Linked DNA regions of Astyanax mexicanus. Each later gene encodes a partner of the first gene's protein in a complex. Links are inferred from orthologs where the notes say so. Each region holds a gene or a part of one and is shown on either strand. Other genes may lie near its edges.

Region 1 (7,990 bases):
AAAATTGAGCCCAGACTTATGTTAGAACCACGTTTTTAACAGAAAAAAGCACAGTTTAAACAGAAACTGATTCAAATAAACACTAAAATGACATATGTAACATGTTAATGTAACACTAATGCATTTACCATGCAGCATCACCAATGATGTAAAAAGTGTAACACTATAGAAATGTCATTGATGAGCCAAAAAAACAAGTTTTTTTAATAGAAAATAGCTGAAATGGTTCAATGTTTTGGCCTTTAAATTGCTGGTTCTCACTACAAATGTACCAATTAATTTAAGCCTGTTTTATTAAGGCAATAAAGATGCTTTCTATAGTTTAATATTGAGCAATGTCTTAGAAGACATTTTTTAAAATGTCATAAAGAACTTTCCTCATAGATTTAAAGGATACTTTATTACATAAAAGTGGTTCTTTCTAATGTAAAGTACTTCACAGCTAAAAATCTAGTGTGAGGAACTTATTTTCCAACCTTAATAATGTCCAAAACATGCTTTTTTGGACACTTCACACTTAGTGTGAAAAGTTTTGTAGTTGAGCTCATTAGAAAAAATTTAAGTGAAACCAATAATATCAAGCAATGAATTTTAAGTGTTTAATTAAGTGTTTAATTTATCACAATTCACAATTTAAACACGTCTTCAAGTGTGCAACATTATGGGGACTTGTTTTAAAATGGACAATTCACATACTCATACTTTCTAATTCTATAGCCATGCTTTTTGCAATGTGTGCATCATGTGCAATCATGTGGATTTGCATTGTCTTGCTGGAAAAAAAAACAGCAAATGCATCTTTTTGAATGAATGAGTAAAATGTCTACAGTAAATCGTCGCTGTCCTATGAAAAACACTTATCTCCATTTTTTGGTAGGTTTTTAGTTTACTACATAATTTGAACAGACAAACTGTCCCTGTGCCACTGTGCCAAAATTTCTTGATGAACGGGCCAATAGAAACACTTCAAAACGACCTGAAATCAAGTCTTCTTACATTGACTTCCACTGAAAGTTTACAAGGTTTTTTCTCTCTCCTGTAAAGTTGCACTTTTTTTTGGAGAGAAGTGTTTTTAATATTCACAAATTTATTAAGTTCGTTTATTATCAGTTTTTCTTATGCAAAACAATGTAAGCGGACTAAAATTGTTTAATTGTGTATTAAATCAGTGCAGATGGTTCTGATTTTAAAGAACCACAGGAGACACTGAGCAGATACTGTACATCATCTCTCTGCACATGATCCACAAGTGTTTCAATTAGTGTGTATAATAACAAATGCATGCACTAGTGTAACTAAGCACTAAGCCAGTGAGAGAGAGAGACACACACACACACACACACTATATACAGCCCAGCAAGCCTTTTTTCCCCTCTGCTTGGCCGTGGTCCCGGCCCATCTGCAGCTTGGCTCACGGATTACTGTTTGTTAATGTTTCAATCAGCTGTGCGCCGAGGAATGTGGAGCTATTTAACCTGAACTTCCCCAGGTGTGCGCCGGCGCCACTCAGTCTGGGCCCGCCTGCCCTTCCCTGCCCTTGGCACAATGCTATCACACAAACACACACTCACACACACAAATCCCTCTCTCTCTCTCTCTCTCTCTCTCTCTCTCTCTCTCTCTCTCTCTTCCCCAGCTGTGTGTGTGCAGCTCGCCGGCGGGAGGGAGGGGGGAACTGGAACAACACAGCACGAGGAGAGTAACAGGAGGAGGAGGAGGGAGGAACTCAACTGCTGTAATTTATGGGGAGTGAAATTAACCTCCCCGCTGCTGAAACAGCTTCGCTTGTAAAGGATTTTTAGGCCCATCTATCTTTATTCTTCTTCTTTTTCTCCTCCTCAAGCAGCTGAAAAATTAGAGAGTTAAACAACACATGTGCAGGGCTGACTGACACCCGCACCCTATGGTTAATACTAGTTCTGTCGACTGATTAAAAAATGTATGAAAATAATCAAATTAATCACGACTAATCACACTTTTTTACCGCAAGACTTTGCTTCCTTAACCCTAGAACACTAATGTTGAAATAATTAGTAACACCATCACTAACGTCGGGTAAACACGATTATAACGATAGAAAATAGAAAAATAGAAAAACGCGCTGCAAATACAACCACAACAAAAAAAAACAAAAAAACAGGAGGACCAGTAAGTTTTTTGGTTTTCTCGGTCACATCACGTTCAGTAGCTCCTCCATTTCCACTCGCTTCTATATTCTAGGACCACAGAGTTTAGTGAAAAACAGTATGTAATTCAGCCTGTAATTTTCTCAGAGGACTGGATTCGTTTCTGAAAATATTACAGGCAGAACTACAATATTTTCCTACAATATTTTAAGTACTATCCAGATGCACATCTCAGAGTTTCGTCACCTCGCGTTTAATAAAATAGCTATTTGTCCACTGCTGCGCACCGTAATTAAAAATAAACATAACAACTAGTGGAAATGGAGGAGCTACTGAACGCGATGTCATGTGATTGAAAAAGCATTAAAAAAAAAGTCCGGATGCAATAGTTTTATCACTGAGTAGAAAAATGTGAAATATTTTAAACAGCCGTCCCCCTGAGAAACTAATCCTGTCCGGATAGTGCTATACATAGTATGTGCGCAAGAGAGAGAAACAGAGTTAGTGAGAGCTTACACTTGGCTATTTAAAAATGAGCAATGACTGGTTAGGGTCCTGGTCATGCAGCTTGTCATCAGCTGCCGAAGCCCTGAGAGAGTACAAATTGGCCTTGCTCTCTCCGGGTAGGTAGATGGCGCTTTTTCCACTCATCACTACTAGGGTGATGTGGATCAGCACAAGGCATCTGTGAGCGAATGTATCGGAGCCAACTATGTAATATTTATAGCCGATAGCCTTTATTATTAAGAAGTAAGAAGTATATTATAACAAAAATGTCATTACTTATTCATTGGAGACAAGACATAAATGGTGGAATTAGTTCAGTGAAGGTAGTCTACTTTTGGAAAGCTATTAAAATTGAATGTCACATTATATTTAAATTATAAATAATAAATGAGCTAAAGTCTTACTGTAGACATAGGCCATTATAGGCCATTAGGTGTAGAATCAAATGATCTGATCAGCTAGGGATGCAGGATTTTACCAAAGCTGGCCCTGCAGCATCATGAGGAGATAATTTAGGCAAAAAGGTTAAATTTCCAAGATGATATTATAAATTATGAAAACACACTAGTAACAATTAACCACATACAATAAAATACAACTGTTTAGCAACACTGAAGCAACGTCATATCAATCCCTACTGAGGCCTAGCCAGAGAATAGGCCAGACTTCAGTAGGTTGTATTGGCCTCACTGTCACTGTTAGTGGACCTAGTCTGGGTCTATAAACTAAGTCCTATACTGCCACCATGTGGAGTAAGGTTGTGTTGGGTTCTGATCAAGGACTGTTTCGTAGGATTATAAACATTTAAGAGATGAAACATAATCTACGTTTTCATTGTCTAACATGTGTTTTGCATGTGAATGATAAGAGTGTACATTTGTGTTATTAATTTTTTTTTCTTTTCACACCTCAAAGTAGTATAGTACAAAATATATAGTACAAAAAACTAATATAAACATTAAAAAACATCGATTGAAAAATGCATAAAAAGCAAACAATACTATTATTTCTACTATTACTACAAAGAAAATGTAATAATAATTGGAAAATAATAATACATAATAACAACGACAAGTAAAATGAGTAAATGTAAATATAATCAGGAGAAGAATGGATGATCACAAGCCATCAAACCAAGCTGAGCTGCTGGAGTAAAGGCATAAAGTTATCCAAAAGCAGTGTGTAAGACTGGTGGAGGAGAACATGATTTCAAGATGCATGAAAACTGTGATTAAAAACCAGAGTTATTCCACCAAATATTGATTTAAGAACTTAATAAATATGAACTTGTTTATTTTGCATTATTTGAGGTCTGAAAGCTCTGGATCTTTTTTGTAATTTCAGCGATTTCTCATTCCCTGCAAATAAATGCTCTAAATGACAATATATAATAGGAAGTTGGGGAAAAAAAACAATGTTTTACTCAAACATATACCTTTAAATAATAAAATCAGAGAAACTGATTCAGAAACTAAAATGGTCTCTTAATTTCGTAATTTATATATAAAAAGCATCCAATACTATTATGTTAACTATTTTTGCTACTGCATTGTAGATTAATACTAGGGTCATCAGAACTATAAAAAAAAATCATGGAATTATTTAGTAAATAGAACGTGTTAAACAAACCAGAATATGTTTCACATTTTACATTCTTAAAAGTAGCACCTCTTGCTTAGATAGACAGTTTTACTCATTTTAGCTGAATTTTCTCAGTCAGCTTTATGAGGTAGAGTCTCCGGGCTTTCTGTGGCTTTCAGTTAACAGCTGTGCTGAACTCATCAAGAGCTAATTACTTGAATTTCTTGTCTCTTAATAAAGTGTTTGAGAGCATCAGTTGTAAAGTAGTGAAGAGGTATATTTACAGGTATACAGTGAATAGTGTATATTTGAGTAAAGTTCTAATCCAGATTATGAGAAGCAAGCACTACTTAGCTACTAAGTAAAGAAAAAATACTTTTAAAGCTTTATCGAGTGTAGTTGCAAAGACGCTATGATGGAACTGGCTCTCATTAGGGAAAAAAAAACATTGACTGAGATTGTGGGTGCAAACTTTTGACTAGTACTGTATATATTACATATAAATAATAAAACAAGAAATAAATACATACTAATATTTAGGAAGACGCCTAGCCCCCCCCCCCCCCCCCCCATCCTGCTTTGTGATTGGCCACCCTAAATACGGGTAGGAATTATTCGCGCGGGACTGTTCTAAAAACGGGTGTGTTAACTTACACGCCGTCGCGATTCAGCCAATCAGATGCCGCGCTTAGCAACCACGTGACCAAACAGACGGAAGTTCCAAACTGCGCGGTGTGCCTTCGTTTTTAGACCTAAATATGAAGTAAAATAGTGTTTATAGGGTTTTATATAAGCGATAAACACTCTTGATTATGTGTAGCACTCTTTAGAACTAATAGTGAGGGGCTCTGTGTGAGTAAATCGGCTTTAAACGCTGTAAATGTGTGATTATTAGCTGTTAGCTGCTGTTAGCTGTTTCTAACGGTGTGTTGTTATGAGCTGCCGGAATGAGGATTTTAACTGTGATTTGAGTTAATTAGAGAGATTTTCTGTAATATCAGGGCTGTAAAAATGTCTCAGAGGAAGAGAGTGGCGCATGCTGGCTCCCAGAACAGAGTACCGAGGGTAAGCAGAGCTGGACATTTAACTTAACTACTGTTTATACCTGATAACTATTGGCAGAAATGACTATTAGCTACCTAGTTAACCCTAACAAGTCTTGACCCAAAACCCTGCTGTATAACAAGTTATTTATATTCTGAAAACTTCTACAGGTCACTTGGAGAAGCTGCCTGTTTTCTCTCTAATTTATTCCACGTAATTTCAGATTAATAACAAAAATTGATATATATAACGGTATATATATATATATATATATATATATATATATATATATATATATATATATATATATATGTGTGTGTGTGATAATATAATATATCAAATTCTACTTGTTTGAAAATAGACACAAAAACTAGACAACTGCCGCAATATAAACGGTTTCATATGTATTGAGGAAAATATTGATTTTAAAATTAAGTTCAGAAAAGCTGCAATTTTCAGATTTTTATTCACTATATTTTGACAATTGCAGATTTAAATTTGTTAAAATATATTTTATATATAAATATAGTATATATTGAAAAAAATAATTAATGTTTTTTATTAAACATGAAACCTTTTTATGTAATGTTTGTATAGAAATCCTTAAGATATAGGGGTGTGATATCAGGCAAAAACTGAAAAAAAAATGCTGGCATTTTAATTTGTTAACTAACAAGTTTTTAACAAGGTTATATAACTGATGTGTGCTCTGTACATAAAACACTGATGCATTTTTACCCTTTGAGTATTTTTTGTTCAATTATTTATTTTACATTTGACCTAGTTTATTTTTTATTGAGTGTTGGACAAAGTACCCAAACCTTGTAGTTAGTTATTATAGGTTGAGTTAAAGAAGAGTTACTGACGATATAAGATAGAAAATATTATTTCAGTAAAAACAAAAGTCTTCCCTTTAGACCTCCTCTTGAGTAAAAGTACATCAGTAACTGCTTGCCTTCAAGTGTACTAAAGTTTTAAAAAAGTAAAAGTACCGTAATTTATCATGACATTCGATCATCAGCTATTATCATTTTCTTAACAAGATTTTAGTTTAAAGAGGTGCTAAACCCCCTGACTTCACTCTCAGATCAAATTTGAAAAAGGCTAAACAATGAGAGGTGTAGTTTGGGAAGGGCACTGGGTGATGTATGGGTTTAGAAGCGGGGCACCTTTAGCATCATCCACTCCTATAGCACAGTTTAACCTGAGAGGACGCTGCAGAGGCAGAAATTACCACAATAAAAGTGTTTTTTAAACAGTGTTCTTTACTGCACTGCATCTTTATATTCCATATATTCCAGGGAGTCTCCAATGTGGGAATTCTGGGCCAGTGCTGATATCCAACTTACACATTTATAACTTATAATATTTATGATTGCAATGTCTGTTCTGCATGTCTTTAAATCTTCACAGCGCTCGCAGCAGGTGGTACTGGACGAGGATGATGATGGTGATGCATCCTACACACAGCCAACATCATCACAGGTCCAGAAGGCCAGGGAGAATTACACACCTGTCCAGGTCGATCGTAAGGTAACTCAGTCTAATTAAATTCAAAACACATACACATAGTGTGTTTTTTTTTTTTTTAATGTGAGCTTATTATGGGATGGGATTATGGTTCGGTCTCTTCTCTGTTCAGTACACTTTGTGTGAACGAAGGACTATTGCATGTAGTTACAGCACCATCATTAATAAATGTTCTGTGTTTTCTAGTGTCTTTACAGGTGCTGGTGAACGAATTAGAATAATTCTAAATAGTGCAAAACTGAAATGAAAATGAAATGAAATGAAATTCTTTGAATGCATTTTTTGTGCAGAAAGCAAATCAGGTGTTCACCGCACCTGTCCTACTCGTTAGACTAATCACAGAACTCGTTACCTGGAAAAAAAATTGCTCAGCTGAGCTTTCCAAAAGGCCCATTTAGGCCATTTAACTGTGACACTGTTGTTTTATTGAATTAGAATAATGGAGAAACTGTTTAATTGAATTAGAATAAATGCTCGAATTTTTGTTTTCTGTGAAGAGTGTTCACTGTGCAGTATAAAGTCAGGGTTGAGTAGAATTTCTAAGTTGTAAAATCAATCATGGGTAAGCAGCGCGACCTCTCTACAGGAATAGTGGCTCAAATTCAAGCCCTTCGCCAACAAGGCTTGACCCAAACTAAAATTGCTGAGCAGCTCGGCATCAGCCAGTCTTCCGTCTGCAAAGCTCTCAAGAAAAACTGCAGCAAGCGCATCAACTGTTCCGGCGTCCGAAAAACTTCTGCTCGCGACAACAAGCAGCCGGTTCAAGTCCACTTCCGAGCTCACCGACTTGTGGAACAAGCAGACCGGCGCTGACGTCTCCAGATCAACCACTTACCGTCGTCTGCGCGAACTCGGCTTCAAATCTCGCGTTCCAGCAGTAAAACCGATGCTGAACAAGAAACAAATGGAGAAACGGCTGAAGTGGGCCAAAGAACACGGCGAGTGGACTGCTGAAGACTGTCAGAAAGTGGTCTTCAGTGACGAATCACGCTTCTGCATCTCCTTCGGTGACCAAGGTCCTCGTGTCTGGCGTCGTGGTGGCAAAACCTACAACCACGAGTGCGTGAAAAGATCCGTCAAGTTTCCCCAGAGCGTTATGGTCTGGGGATGCATGTCCGCTCGAGGTGTAGGGGAAACTCTGCTTCCTCAAGAAGACTGTCAATGCTGCCGTATATCAAGATGTTCTGGAAACGTTCCTGATT
Region 2 (7,062 bases), on another chromosome or scaffold:
TCCAGTATGATTTTTGACTTTTTTTTCAGACCAAATACACATCAGATGAAGAGTTCTAGTATTCTCAAAATCAATGCTTTATATTCATTATTTCTGTGCAAAATGGCTTTCATGTCATGTTGCCAATTCATTTTAAAGGATAAAATCAGCTCGGGCCAGGCTATTTCCAGGCTTTCCTTAAAGTAGAAGACTAGTACTCTTTAGATCATGTGTATTTGGTCTGACCCAAGATTAAAAAGTCCTTCAAAATCACACTAGAACATCAGCTTTACATAAAACATTGTGCATTGTGGATCGGTATTCCATGTTGCCAGTTCATTTTAAAGTATAAAATCAGCTTGGGCCAGGCTAATTCCAGGTTTTCCTTAAAGTAGAAGACTAGTACTCTTTAATCTTGGGCCAGACCAAATACACATGATCTGAAGAGTCCTTCAAAATCACACTGGAACATCAGCTTTACATAAAAAAATTGTGCATTATGGATTGGTATGCTATGTTGCCAGTTCATTTTAAAGTATAAAATCAGCTCGGGCCAGGCTAATTCCAGGTTTTCCTTAAAGTAGAAGACTAGTACTCTTCAGATCATGTGTATTTGGTCTGGCCCAAGATTAAAAAGTCCTTCAAAATCACACTAGAACATCAGCTTTATATTCAATTTTTTTGTGCATTATGGATCGTTATTCCATGTTGCCAGTTCATTTTTAAGTATAAAATCAGCTCGGGCCAGGCTAATTCCAGGTTTTCCTTAAAGAAGAAGACTAGTACTCTTCAGATCATGTGTATTTGGTCTGGCCCAAGATTAAAAAGTCCTTCAAAATCACACTAGAACATCAGCTTTACATAAAAAAATTGTGCATTATGGATTGGTATGCTATGTTGCCAGTTCATTTTAAAGTATAAAATCAGCTCGGGCCAGGCTAATTCCAGGTTTTCCTTAAAGAAGAAGACTAGTACTCTTCAGATCATGTGTATTTGGTCTGGCCCAAGATTAAAAAGTCCTTCAAAATCACACTAGAACATCAGCTTTACATAAAAAAAATTGTGCATAATGGATTGGTATGCTATGTTGCCAGTTCATTTTAAAGTATAAAATCAGCTTGGGCCAGGCTATTTCCAGGTTTTCCTTAAAGTAGAAGACTAGTACTCTTTAGATCATGTGTATTTGGTCTGGCCCAAGATTAAAAAGTCCTTCAAAATCACACTAGAACAATAGCTTTATATTAAATTTTTTTGTGCATTATGGATCGGTAGGCCATGTTGCCAGTTAATTTTAAAGTATAAAATCAGCTTGGGCCAGGCTAATTCCAGGTTTTCCTTAAAGTAGAAGACTAGTACTCTTTAGATCATGTGTATTTGGTCTGGCCCAAGATTAAAAAGTCCTTCAAAATCACACTAGAACATCAGCTTTATATTCAATTTTTTTGTGCATTATGGATCGTTATTCCATGTTGCCAGTTCATTTTTAAGTATAAAATCAGCTCGGGCCAGGCTAATTCCAGGTTTTCCTTAAAGAAGAAGACTAGTACTCTTCAGATCATGTGTATTTGGTCTGGCCCAAGATTAAAAAGTCCTTCAAAATCACACTAGAACATCAGCTTTACATAAAAAAATTGTGCATTATGGATTGGTATGCTATGTTGCCAGTTCATTTTAAAGTATAAAATCAGCTCGGGCCAGGCTAATTCCAGGTTTTCCTTAAAGTAGAAGACTAGTACTCTTCAGATCATGTGTATTTGGTCTGGCCCAAGATTAAAAAGTCCTTCAAAATCACACTAGAACATCAGCTTTATATTCAATTTTTTTGTGCATATGGATCTGTTTTCCATGTTGCCAGTTCATTTTAAAGTATAAAATCAGCTTGGGCTAGGCTATTTCCAGGTTTTCCTTAAAGTAGAAGACTAGTACTCTTTAGATCATGTGTATTTGGTCTGGCCCAAGATTAAAAAGTCCTTCAAAATCACACTAGAACATCAGCTTTATATTCAATTTTTTTGTGCATTATGGATCGGTAGGCCATGTTGCCAGTTAATTTTAAAGTATAAAATCAGCTTGGGCCAGGCTAATTCCAGGCTTTCCTTAAAGTAGAAGACTAGTACTCTTCAGATCATGTGTATTTGGTCTGGCCCAAGATTAAAAAGTCCTTCAAAATCACACTAGAACATCAGCTTTGTATTCAATTTTTTTGTGCATTATGGATCGGTAGGCCATGTTGCCAGTTAATTTTAAAGTATAAAATCAGCTTGGGCCAGGCTAATTCCAGGCTTTCCCTAAAGTAGAAGACTAGTACTCTTTAGATAATGTGTATTTGGTCTGGCCCAATATGAAAAAGTCCTTCAAAATCACACTGGAACATCAGCTTTACATAAAAAAAATTGTGCATTATGGATCGGTATGCTATGTTGCCAGTTCATTTTAAAGTATAAAATCAGCTCGGGCCAGGCTAATTCCAGGTTTTCCTTAAAGTAGAAGACTAGTTCTCTTCAGATCATGTGTATTTGTTCTGGCCCAAGATTAAAAAGTCCTTCAAAATCACACTAGAACATCAGCTTTATATTCAATTTCTTTGTGCATTATGGATCGTTATTACATGTTGCCAGTTCATTTTAAAGTATAAAATCAGCTTGGGCCAGGCTAATTCCAGGTTTTTCTTAAAGTAGAAGACTAGTACTCTTCAGATCATGTGTATTTGGTCTGGCCCAAGATGAAAAAGTCCTTCAAAATCACACTGGAACATCAGCTTTACATAAAAAATTGTGCTTTATGCATCGGTATTCCAGGTTGCCAGTTCATTTTAAAGTATAAAATCAGCTTGGGCCAGGCTATTTCCAGGTTTTTCTTAAAGTAGAAGACTAGTACTCTTCAGATCATGTGTATTTGGTCTGGCCCAAGATGAAAAAGTCCTTCAAAATCACACTAGAACATCAGCTTTACATAAAAAAAATTGTGCATTATGGATTGGTATGCTATGTTGCCAGTTCATTTTAAAGTATAAAATCAGCTCGGGCCAGGCTAATTCCAGGTTTTCCTCAAAGTGGGAGAGTAGTTCTCTTCATCTGATGTGTATGTGTTCTGGCCCAAGATGAAAAAGTCTTTCAAAGTTTGCCAGTTCATTTTAAAGTATAAAATCAGCTCGGGCCAGGCTACTTCCAGGTTTTCCTTAAAGAAGAAGACTAGTACTCTTCAGATCATGTGTATTTGGTCTGGCCCAAGGTTAAAAAGTCCTTCAAAATCACACTGGAACATCAGCTTTTCATAAAAAAAATTGTGCATTATGGATCGGTATGCTATGTTGCCAGTTCATTTTAAAGTATAAAATCAGCTCGGGCCAGGCTACTTCCAGGTTTTCCTTAAAGTAGAAGACTAGTACTCTTCAGATCATGTGTATTTGGTCTGGCCCAACATGAAAAAGTTCTTCAAAATCACACTTGAACATCTGCCTCATATTTTTTGAGCGCAATGGCTTTTAAAATATAATTTTATTAATCATATATTTAATTATTTATTGTAATATATAATTATAAATTCAGTAATTAAAATAAATATTTTACAATATACAAAATTATATTTAATAATATATTGTATATTTACATTGTTAATAAACAGATGTACTGCTTTTCTTCATTCTATCTCCTTCAGTGTTGATCTGTGAGGTGTTTAATATAAACAGCGGGTGTTTGTGAACGCTCCCTTTAGTTCACGGTGGTTCAGTGAAGCGGCAGCTGCGAATATCAAACCAACTTCAGCCGGGGAATACGAGGCTGCGAATATCGAGCCAAACGAATCTGGAGCTGCGAATATCAAACCAACTTCAGCCTCGTGGAAACATGCTCTCTCTATATAACTTATATACATTTATAAAAAGCACATAAGTAAGATTTATATTGTTGTAATATATCCAACAACAAAAAATACGCGAAAATAAAACAATAAATAAATAATTAAATAAATAAATAAATAAAGGGATTCAAAGAGAATTAGTATAATACATTTGGTAAACATTCTGAAACAAACTCCAGAGGGTCTTGAACGCTGCACGAAACCCGGAACGAAACCGACTTCCGTGTTTATTTTACCGCGAAGACACAACTAGCTCAGTGCTTAGAGCTGGATTCTGGAAGCAGCCTCACTTTATAGCTGTTTATTAACTATAATCTTAAAAAGTAGATGGATTTAATGTTAGCGATATGTGTTTCCAGATGTGTTTAGTGGTGTCTGAGTCACTAGTGAAGCGCTAGTGTTAACTAGCCGCGCGGGAGCTGCAGAATCTCTGCGGCACCAGTTCAGCTCACTAATAACAGCAGCAGCGGGTAATGTATCGCCAGCTAGCTAAACAGCTAACAACTAGCTATTTAACTACTGTTCTAAATGCTCTTTAATTGTGAAGGCTGTTAACTGCTAACCATTTATCCCACAGCTATTTCTGAATATTGATGCCACATTTAAAATTGATTTAGATAAATTTATACATGATCAGCTCATTTATGTTTTTTTTTATTATTATTGTGGGAACATGACGGTTAGCTAGCTAACTAATATTTTAAGGTAAAATACTTGATGTAACACAGCGTTAACCCTTCTGTTATGCTACGGGTCAAATAGACCCGTTTTAAAGTTTGAAGATCTAGAAAAAATAGTTACAAGTAGGGGTGTGCGATATCGTGTCGTACGCAATAATACCGCAGACATTTTTCGAATATTGTGACATTCCAAAAATATATAGTTTCCCATTATAGATCTACTAGAGACAGATTATATCTGTCCAATATCATTTATTTAACTTTAATCCTGGAAATATGGAGATATCTGGAGTGCATTATTGTTAGTATCATGACATTGTGGATCATTGACTTCTGTTACAAATCTGATAAAATTCTTGTATTTTTAAATATCTCAGTTAGGGGTGTGCCAAGTCATATCGTATGCAATAATAAAATGTAATTTTAATTTTGTTGCAGTAGTATAATTTTGAAAATAATTTTTTTGTATTTCGATGTTTTGTCATATCGCCAAGAGTATAGTTATCACAGAAATACTGTGAAATATCATTATATTATTTTAGAGCCATATCACCCACCCCTAGTTAAAAGTATTTTTTAGTATGAAACTTTTTCTGCTTGCTATAATTAGTGTATTCAACATAAAAGTTAATATGAAAATGATTCATCTCTCACATTTGCAACCACCCCCTGCAAAAACCAAAAACTAAAACAAAATTGAAGTGTAATGTTTCAGTGTTATGTAAAACTATGAATTGTATATGTTGGTCTTTCAAAAGTGAAACTTAAAAAAAAAAAAAACGAGTGAATTATCCTAAGTAAACCATTACCTGATAGAGGCACTAAATATTGATAGAATAATTAGTAATAGAGTTAGTAATTAAATATGTACACTGCTTGTTAGGAGTTTTCCGACATCTTTTGGATAATTAAACATGCATGCACCGGGTCAAATTGACCTGGGAACACCATTGCTGTCCCTGGCAAATGAACATAACAGAAGGTTTAAATGAAACAACAACAATTTATAACTCATAAGATCTCAGAATAGCTTCTGAAACATTAGAACTATTAGAATTATTTATTTTAAATTTAGTGAATGACATTTAGTTCATTTAACTTAAGTTAGAGAGAGTTGTCTAAATGTGCTATTTGTTAAATTAGGCTTCATTCACATTACCAGGCTGAAGTGACTCAAATCATTTTTTTTTGCTCAATATGACTCAGATCTGTTTTTTTTCCTCCACTTATAAGCAGCTAACACATAAATTTCACCTTTATAAAGCAACAATTTGTCTTCCAATTATGAATTTTTTGTTGTTAGTGAAGAATGCGACATTTGTATATGTATCAATGTGCGCATGTGAGGCGTTTGAGGGACCGATTAGTTCACAGATTACACACAGATACAGGTCACTTACAATTGTGAATGTGGACCGTCAAGATAGCCAAATCCCATCTGAGCAAATCGGATTGGAGGATTTGTGGCTTGTAATGTAAACGCAGGCTAATTGAATTTATTTTGGTTCATTCATTTAGGCAACTGAAGAATCTGACCACCGTTATTACATACAGAACCGCTACCGCTCTGTCGGGAGATGTCTGAGTCAAGGCGGAGAGTGAGCAGAGGAAGTCAGGAGGAGTCTGCTGCACATACCAATGGAGTAGGAGGACGCAGCAGGTCCGAGAGAGCAGCAGACACGGGTGATGAGGATGAGGGTGCTGGTCCATCAGGGATCCATGAGGAAGATGATGACCCGGCCCGTCGGAGGGAGATCAGAAGCCAGTACAGGGACCTCATCAACTCTGTCCAGCGTGAGCACCTCAATTGTGTTTTTTTCTACACAGCTGTGCTTTTTAGTGTTGCCAACTTGCTGCTACTTTTACACTTCTGTGTATCTAGTCTGAGTCATTTGTACTAACATGCCTGACTGTTGTTCCCAGAAAATCGTGAGGACATGTTGAACCCTGCCAACAATAAGCTGATTGATGTGTTAGAAGAAGCCAACAAACTGTTTGCTAATGGTAAATACGTATTTTTTTTTTTATATTGACCAACCGTGTGTTCTACATATTGTGACGGCAGGTTTATGACATAACTGACTTTTATTTGTGTGTAAATGTATTGATTTTTTTTGTATGTTTCCTTTTCAGTCAGGCAAGCTCGAGAAGCTGCTTTGGATGCTCAGCTGCTGGTTCTTGCCACAGACCTGGGAAGGGAAAAAGCCAGCCAGCTCCATGCAGAGGGATCGTCTTTTGACCCTTCTGCATTTGCAGAGCATTTGGTGAGCCACTGCATACCAGGATGATCGAAATAATATTCTAAAGCACATGGCTGTTTTCCAAACATGGAAATTCAGTGTATAAATTTAACTTTTTTTTAAATAGTTGTCCTTCATGGGTCTTAATCGCTTGGAAGAAGAGGAGGATGATCAAGAAGGCTTAGATGGATATTTGCCTCCAGATGCCTGGCAGAAACTTTCCAAAAGGGCAGAACATTGTTTTAAAACAGCGCCGTCATTCCATTACTTGTATGTATAATAAAACATGTGATAAGAATTTCATT
Region 3 (6,958 bases), on another chromosome or scaffold:
GAAGAAACTTCTCTGAAAACTCACCCTTAGACAAAATATTGGATATCTAAGTGAAATGTGCAGAAATGCACACAGCTGAAAGCAGCTTACCGGAACTTCTTCTTGTTGTTGTGTCTGGTCTTGATCATGGTCAGTGCAGCTTCTTGGTCGTAGTAATGTTGGCACTTCTTGTTTCGTACTGGATTTACCATCTCAACCTGTGAATGATGAGGTCAAACCACTCAAATTTTTATAAAAGTAATACATAATATGCACTCACACCATGAAATGTTCCTGAATTTACTTAAATTACGTAATAAACAGACTTTGATTAAACCTTTGCATCCAACCACAGAGCTTAAACAAGATGCATTTATGGAAAATAAAAAAGAAATATGACCAAATTAACTAGGAAAAATAATGTGATTAATGCTAATACATTATTTTATCATTTAAAACCCCAGTAGTTGCGCAAAACACCCAAGAAAAAAAAAAAAGTATTTTGTTAAACTGCCATTTTTTTTAATCGCTGTGATTGAAGCACGCATTCACTGTGGCATTATTTCAATAAGCTTTATTAGTATTATTAATAATGTTAAAATGCTGTGGTATTGTTTCAGTATTGTTATTGAGATATTTAGGCAGGTATCATATCCAAAGTCAAAATGTTGGATTTTGAGACAACACTATTAATGTATCTGTTAAAAGCAAAAGTTTACCTGGGTAAGAGGACATGTGAAGTTTGTCTGGCTCTGTGTAACAGCAATGTCTTCATCCAGCTCCTCTTCAACATGGGCAGCCGCTGATTGGTTCACTAAAAAAACACACATGAGAACTGTTTAATTACCTTTTTATCTCAAACAACTGCTACCTAAATGAATCCGATTAATACAATAGTATAATAGTACAATAATACACTGCTGGCTAAACAAAAAAGTGGTATTAAGAAACTGGGTACCACTTTAAAATAAGACTACCTTCATAAAGGGTTTATAAATGGTTTACTATTCGTTTATTAATGGTTACTAATTAGGTTGAAAATGCCTTAAAAATCATTAATAATCAGTTATAACACATATACGTAGAAAAGGCAACAATACAGATGGCTGTGTAATATAGTTCACTATTTGGCAAACAACAGGTCACTGTCCTTTCTCTGTATGTGTTATAACTGATTATTAATGATTTTTAAAGCATTTACAACCTACTTAGTAACCATTAATAAACTAATTGTAAACCATTTATAAACCCTTTATAAAGGTAGTCTTATTTTAAAGTGGTACCAGAAACTGAAACCAGGTAGATGGGAATCATTAAAAACAAATAGTTGATTTTTAGTAACACTGTCATTTTGATTGTAGCTATTCTACCAATAAATGAAAGAGGAAGAGTTTTCCTACGACAGAGATCATCATTTATTGTTTTGAGTTTAATGAGTTGAAATCGCTGTACTGTGTTTGAGACAGGAAGAGACAGTGTGTACGATACCTTGTGCCAAAGATTTCCTGATGTTGTCTCTGAAAGCCACTACTTTGCTGTGTCTCTGAACGTCTGAATCCCTGTCCTTTAGTTCAGCAAAGCGATTCTTTACAGAGTTTAACAGCGAGAACATGGCCTGTGGAGGTTCTCGTCTCACCTGCAGACACAGGAGAAAATACAAGATGAATTAGAGGGATAGAAAAAAGTATATTAGAATTAGAATTGAAACGATCTAAAATTACTAACATGAGCTGTCGTCTGCTCAACAGATTCCACAAAACAGTTTATCTCTCTGTCCAGAGCAGCGCATTCTAACATCATCTGCTCCAATTTTCTTAAACTCGGACTGTCATCAGTGCCTGGAATAAAACAAATAAAAAGAATCATAGCAACACAGCATCTGAATCTACACACACTCTCAACAATTACAAGAAACATCAAGCATGTTTACAGTGCTGTAAACCATAAAGCTTCGCATTAAACCAGTAACTCGGTTAATCAAATTACTTTAGTAATAAACTCAGTATATGATGAGAAAAAAACGTACGGAATGGCATTATTAAAGTCGTAATATTTCGAGATTAAAGTCTTGATATTACGACTTTAACCTCATAACATTACAACTTTCATCTCCCAATATTACGACTAAACTCAGAATATTACGACTTAAATCTTGTAATATTACGGCTTTATTCTCGCAATAATTAACCTTACTTTAAGAAATTAAGGTCAGTCAATCTGAAACATTTCAAGAGCTCTTAAAGTATCCTCAAGTGCAGTCACCACAAAGACCATCAAAAACGTTATGATAAAACTGGCTCTCATCAGTAACGCCCCAGAAAAGGAAGAGCAAGAGTTACCTCTGTTGCACAGGAAAGTTCCAGTCACAGATAAGTGGGACCAAAATAGGTTTTATGGTTTGTTTAACACTTTTTACTCGTTTACTACACGACGTGTTCCTTTATAGTCTAAAATACTTTAACATTTATTTACAATGTAGGAAATATATAACTGTATGTATAAAAGGCTGTATTTGATTAAAGATTAGTTAGTTAATTAGTTAAGGTTAGATTTAGGTAAATAGCTGTACTGTACCTTGGGCTTCCACCAGATCCAGAGCGACATCTGACACGATGTCCATCCCTGTCCCAATATCCACCTGACATGTCTTCAGACTGGACAGCGCGGGCTGAACTGAACTCAACGACATAATTTAACGCTAACTGTTACCTCTGTGATTTCCGGCTACAGCGGACTGGTTAAGAAACTGAATTAATCGGAAAGTAAACCGGTTTGACCTGCGAGTGGGTAAAGCGTGTTTACAAGTTAGCTAGTTAGTTAGTTAGCATGTTAAGCTAACCGTAGTTAGATAATTTATCCGAAACAACCGGGTTCAGCCAACAAAACAAGCGTACACACACGTAGCTAAATATAGTATAATAGTGTTAAAGTTGTTAAAAGGTTTATAAAAACTAGCCCGACACAAATAACCAGTTTATTTTACTTCAGATAGCGACTCAAAAACAAATCAGGCTCCTGCAGCCCGCCTCAACTACTGCGAGTGACGTGAAGACAAAATAAAAGTCCCCCCCACTCTCTCTCTCTCTCTCTCTCTCTCTCTCGCTCTTTCTTTTTTTCTTTCTTTCTCTTTCTTCTCGCTCTACAAATATACAGTACCAGTCAAAGATTTTTTTCCTACTATGAAATAACACATAATGAATCGTGTAATTAAACCAACTAAAAATACTCTGAGAAGCACTTAGGCGGGCTCAACTAACAAACACTATTTAAAAAACAGTTTACTTCGATAATAAACTAGTAATATGACGAGAGAAAAAGACGTATGGAATGACATTATGAGATGGCATTAAAGTCTTAATAAACGTGTAATATTACAACATTATTCTCGTAATGTCACACCTTTATTCCTGTAATATTATGATAATATTTTTACTTTAATTTCGTAATGTGACTTAAATCTTGTAACGTTATGAAATTAAACTTGTAATGTCATGACTTTAATCTCGTAATATTACGACTTTATCCTCGTAATATTACAACTTTAATCTCATAATGTTATGACTTGAATATTGTAATATTATGCCTTTAATATCGTAATGTTATGACTTTAATCTCATAATGTAATGACTTTAATCTCGTAATGTAATGACTTTAATCTCATAATGTTTTGACTAATCTCGTAATGTTACGACTTTAATCTTGCATCATTTGTTAACCCTTTTTAAAGTTTATTACATTATTCCTCATGTGTTCTTTCGCGGTCTCGGGGCTTTTATTTTGACATGCACGCGCAGGAGACGCGGACAAATCGCAGCAAGAACCGTCATTTGGCGTCGCGGCCGCAGCCTATCGACTCCTGCGGGGCCACGTCATGTAAACGGAGTAAAAGCGCGTCCGACCGACACTCAACCAAAATAGAAGCAGCCGAACCGGGTTCACCCCGATCCGCCGCGATCCGCCGCGATCCGCAGAGCCGCAGCGCCGCGCTCAGGGCCCGGTGTAGCCGCAGGTTAGAGTACAGAGGAGCGGGGCTGAGGGCTCCGCAGCGCCGAGGAGAGATGTCAGATATCGGGGACTGGTTTAAGAGCGTCCCGTTCATCACCCGGTACTGGTTCGCGGGCTCGATCGCGGTTCCGCTGATCGGGAAGCTGGGGCTGATCAGCCCGGTGTTCCTCGTGCTGTGGCCGGAGGCTTTCTTCCACAAGTTCCAGGTGAGAGCCGGGGCCGCTGGGAGAGGAGGTTGAGGGTTAGGGAGGCCTAGGCCTCGGTCTTAATGAGAGAGGTGCGAGATAGCTAATTATTATTAGCTGTGAACCAGCGATCCAGTGTTATGTCGATTTGGGCTGTGTTGTCAAAACCTGCTACCACAGGTCTGTATTTATAGATCATTTTTATTTTATTTTTTTCCCCACAAAAAATATAGCATGTAGGTTTTGATAAATAACATTACAACAACAATGCAAGTATAATTCATTATTATCATATTACAATGAATATTACTGCTTTTCATCCTATTTTATTACTATTATGTCAGTGGCATATAATGATTTTAAAATTACAATAATATATTTTTTCGCATTTATTTCTAGGACAAAATAACGTCCACAAAAAAATGACAGGGCTACAGTAAATAGCAAAACAGACTTCTTTCATGAATATCACTGTCACGATATAGATTTTTTTTTTTATAATGAATTGTTTGTGATATTATTGCGTACGTTATGACATGGCACGCCCCTATTAGGTAGGATAAAAACGTCATATCAAAAATGCTTTTGAGTAAACGTGCAGGACAGATTTGTAATTAGTCATTTATTCATTTATTTATCAGGGAAAATCTAAGGCAATTAGCTCATATGATAATTTTGTATATATTGTTTTATAAGAATTTCTAATTACACTTTTGTAACACCAAGTAATTACATTTCATTTTGAATTCTGCGCTGCACCTAGTCAAAATGCAATTATGTGGATTGTGATTTGCTAGCACTTAGTGCTTTTAGCAGCTAATGCTAATACTGCTCCAGCCTCAGTGCTGGAGAAACTTCACTTAAACTCCTGTTTAACGCTGTACTTTACTGCTCCTTAATACCTGACTGATAGAATTCATTCATAAGATGCACTGGATTATAAGACACACTGATGGTTTCTTGGAAAATTAAATGATTTTAAGTGCACCTTTTTGTGTGAAAAATATAGTAATTATACAGAATTGTGTGTGAGTGCATGTGCAGAGCCGCTAAGTCACAGGGTAACATATCACACATATCACTGGGTAAGCAGGGCTCTTGGTTTGAGAGGCAAATGATGTGCGTGCCTGTTCAAGCATGGGTGCACGTGTGAAAGCGAGACATTTTTTTTTGTGTGTATTTTTTTTTTTTTTTTTTTTTTTTTTTAACTAAAATTTTGAGTGAATTATTTTTTTTCGTGAATTAATTAGATTTTTAAATAGCTAGATAAAATATTGGGGGGATTTATGTGTAGTACAACAACAAAGAAGGAACAAAATATAAACAAAAAAGCAAAAATTTTATTCTTAACCTACAAAGAACCCAGATCCACATTTGAATATTGATACTATTTTAAAAATCAAATCAGATAAATTCAGTAAGCAGCTCATTTTTTTTTATTCTGAACACATGACTGTAAACATTTTATCAAGTTAAATCCTGATATAATAAATATCACAAAAAATGTATGTCTTGTATTTTACTTTTTTTTCCTAGGTGTTTGTAAAACATTTAATTAAAGCATTTGAATGGTTAAAATGGTTGGAACAGGCCTGTCACAATAAAACATTTTTATGGACAATATATTATCCCAGAAATTAGCATTAAATGCTACTGACATAATGATAGTAAAATAGCACAACAAAGCAGTTGTACCCTTTTAAATACAACATTTAAATGAATCATAGTTTGGGAAATATATGGTTTTTTTTTTTCTGTTTTTTTTCTTTTGCAGTTGTTGAAGCATTGGTCTGGTATTGCATGACTGGCTAAAATACTGTTTAAATATATGTTTTATATATAAACAACCATACAAATAAACACAATATGTGATGATATCACGATTATTACATGTCATTAAGGTCATATATGTTTATTGTGTGATAAGTTGAAAACATTTAATTTTTCATGACAGGCCTATGTGGAATTTTTTTTTTTTTTTTTTTAAAGGAGCTTTAGTGGTTTTATCTCTATTTAAAGCACTTCTACTTTCTGTAAATAAATAAGGCGAGATGAGTGAACACAGATTCACACACTGTCCTGTAGTGATGCTCTCAGGATGTTTAGTATGTATCACTTAAGGAAATTAATGTGAGCTAAAGTGAAGAACAAAGTGCTCTAAGTAAATTTATACATCTTTTAAAAGGCTCTGTGACATGGGCTCTTTTGAGTTATAATATTCCATACCACCTTAAACAATGCAGCAGGTAAGTACTGCACCATTTAAGGTGGAATGGTTATTTAAAATATGAAGTCCACCAGAGGGCGCCGAACACATTGACTGTGTGAAACACGTGGGTCACTGTGTGTTTAAATGGAATATAGGCTCAGTTTATTAGAGGTGGGCGATAAGACTATAGTATCATAATGCACAATAAGATTTTTAATACAACATGAGTAATCAATCAACTAATCCTGTGTAATTAATTGGAGTACATTAAATTCTGAATAAAAAATAAATTTTAAGTGTAAGCATTAACGCTGCCTTCGCTTTCATGTCAGAGGTTTGCTCGTATGACTCTGGAGCTCATAGTAGAGGTTCTTAAAGGGGCCACAATATTCATTTAGGGGCCAAATATATTTTCACCAGTCACACCATGTTTAAAAATGTTAATGTATTTTAAAAACACATACACTGTAGTTCCAGATGTGCCAGATGTTTTACACAAAAAAATAAAATCTGCTATTTTAACCCTTTTAAAGCATTTTTATTTTTATTATACTGACTTTAGACTTGATGATAAAACACA

The links.
Region 2: ndnl2 (region 1) and nsmce4a share a complex: the UniProt entries of both Homo sapiens proteins name them as parts of the SMC5-SMC6 complex. The link is inferred for Astyanax mexicanus from reciprocal best matches to the Homo sapiens genes NSMCE3 and NSMCE4A.
Region 3: ndnl2 (region 1) and nsmce2 share a complex: the UniProt entries of both Homo sapiens proteins name them as parts of the SMC5-SMC6 complex. The link is inferred for Astyanax mexicanus from reciprocal best matches to the Homo sapiens genes NSMCE3 and NSMCE2.

What each region holds. Positions count from the first base shown.
Region 1 is NC_064420.1:45,881,179-45,889,168, reverse strand, and holds the start of ndnl2 (necdin-like 2), read left to right. Parts: upstream 1-4,892; 5' UTR 4,893-5,225; coding exon 5,226-5,279; intron 5,280-6,671; coding exon 6,672-6,791; intron 6,792-7,990. UniProt on the Homo sapiens protein: Component of the SMC5-SMC6 complex, a complex involved in repair of DNA double-strand breaks by homologous recombination. The complex may promote sister chromatid homologous recombination by recruiting the SMC1-SMC3 cohesin complex to double-strand breaks.
Region 2 is NC_064414.1:35,024,454-35,031,515, reverse strand, and holds the start of nsmce4a (non-structural maintenance of chromosomes element 4 homolog A), read left to right. Parts: upstream 1-4,046; 5' UTR 4,047-4,307; intron 4,308-6,035; exon of another isoform or gene 6,036-6,071; 5' UTR 6,072-6,094; coding exon 6,095-6,311; intron 6,312-6,440; coding exon 6,441-6,521; intron 6,522-6,650; coding exon 6,651-6,781; intron 6,782-6,884; coding exon 6,885-7,027; intron 7,028-7,062. UniProt on the Homo sapiens protein: Component of the SMC5-SMC6 complex, a complex involved in DNA double-strand breaks by homologous recombination. The complex may promote sister chromatid homologous recombination by recruiting the SMC1-SMC3 cohesin complex to double-strand breaks.
Region 3 is NC_064413.1:4,744,539-4,751,496, forward strand, and holds the start of nsmce2 (E3 SUMO-protein ligase NSE2), read right to left. Parts: upstream 3,017-6,958; 5' UTR 2,669-3,016; coding exon 2,554-2,668; intron 1,818-2,553; coding exon 1,705-1,817; intron 1,616-1,704; coding exon 1,468-1,615; intron 794-1,467; coding exon 699-793; intron 198-698; coding exon 91-197; intron 1-90. Other genes in the region: derl1 (derlin-1), read left to right, coding at 4,038-4,190. UniProt on the Homo sapiens protein: E3 SUMO-protein ligase component of the SMC5-SMC6 complex, a complex involved in DNA double-strand break repair by homologous recombination. Is not be required for the stability of the complex.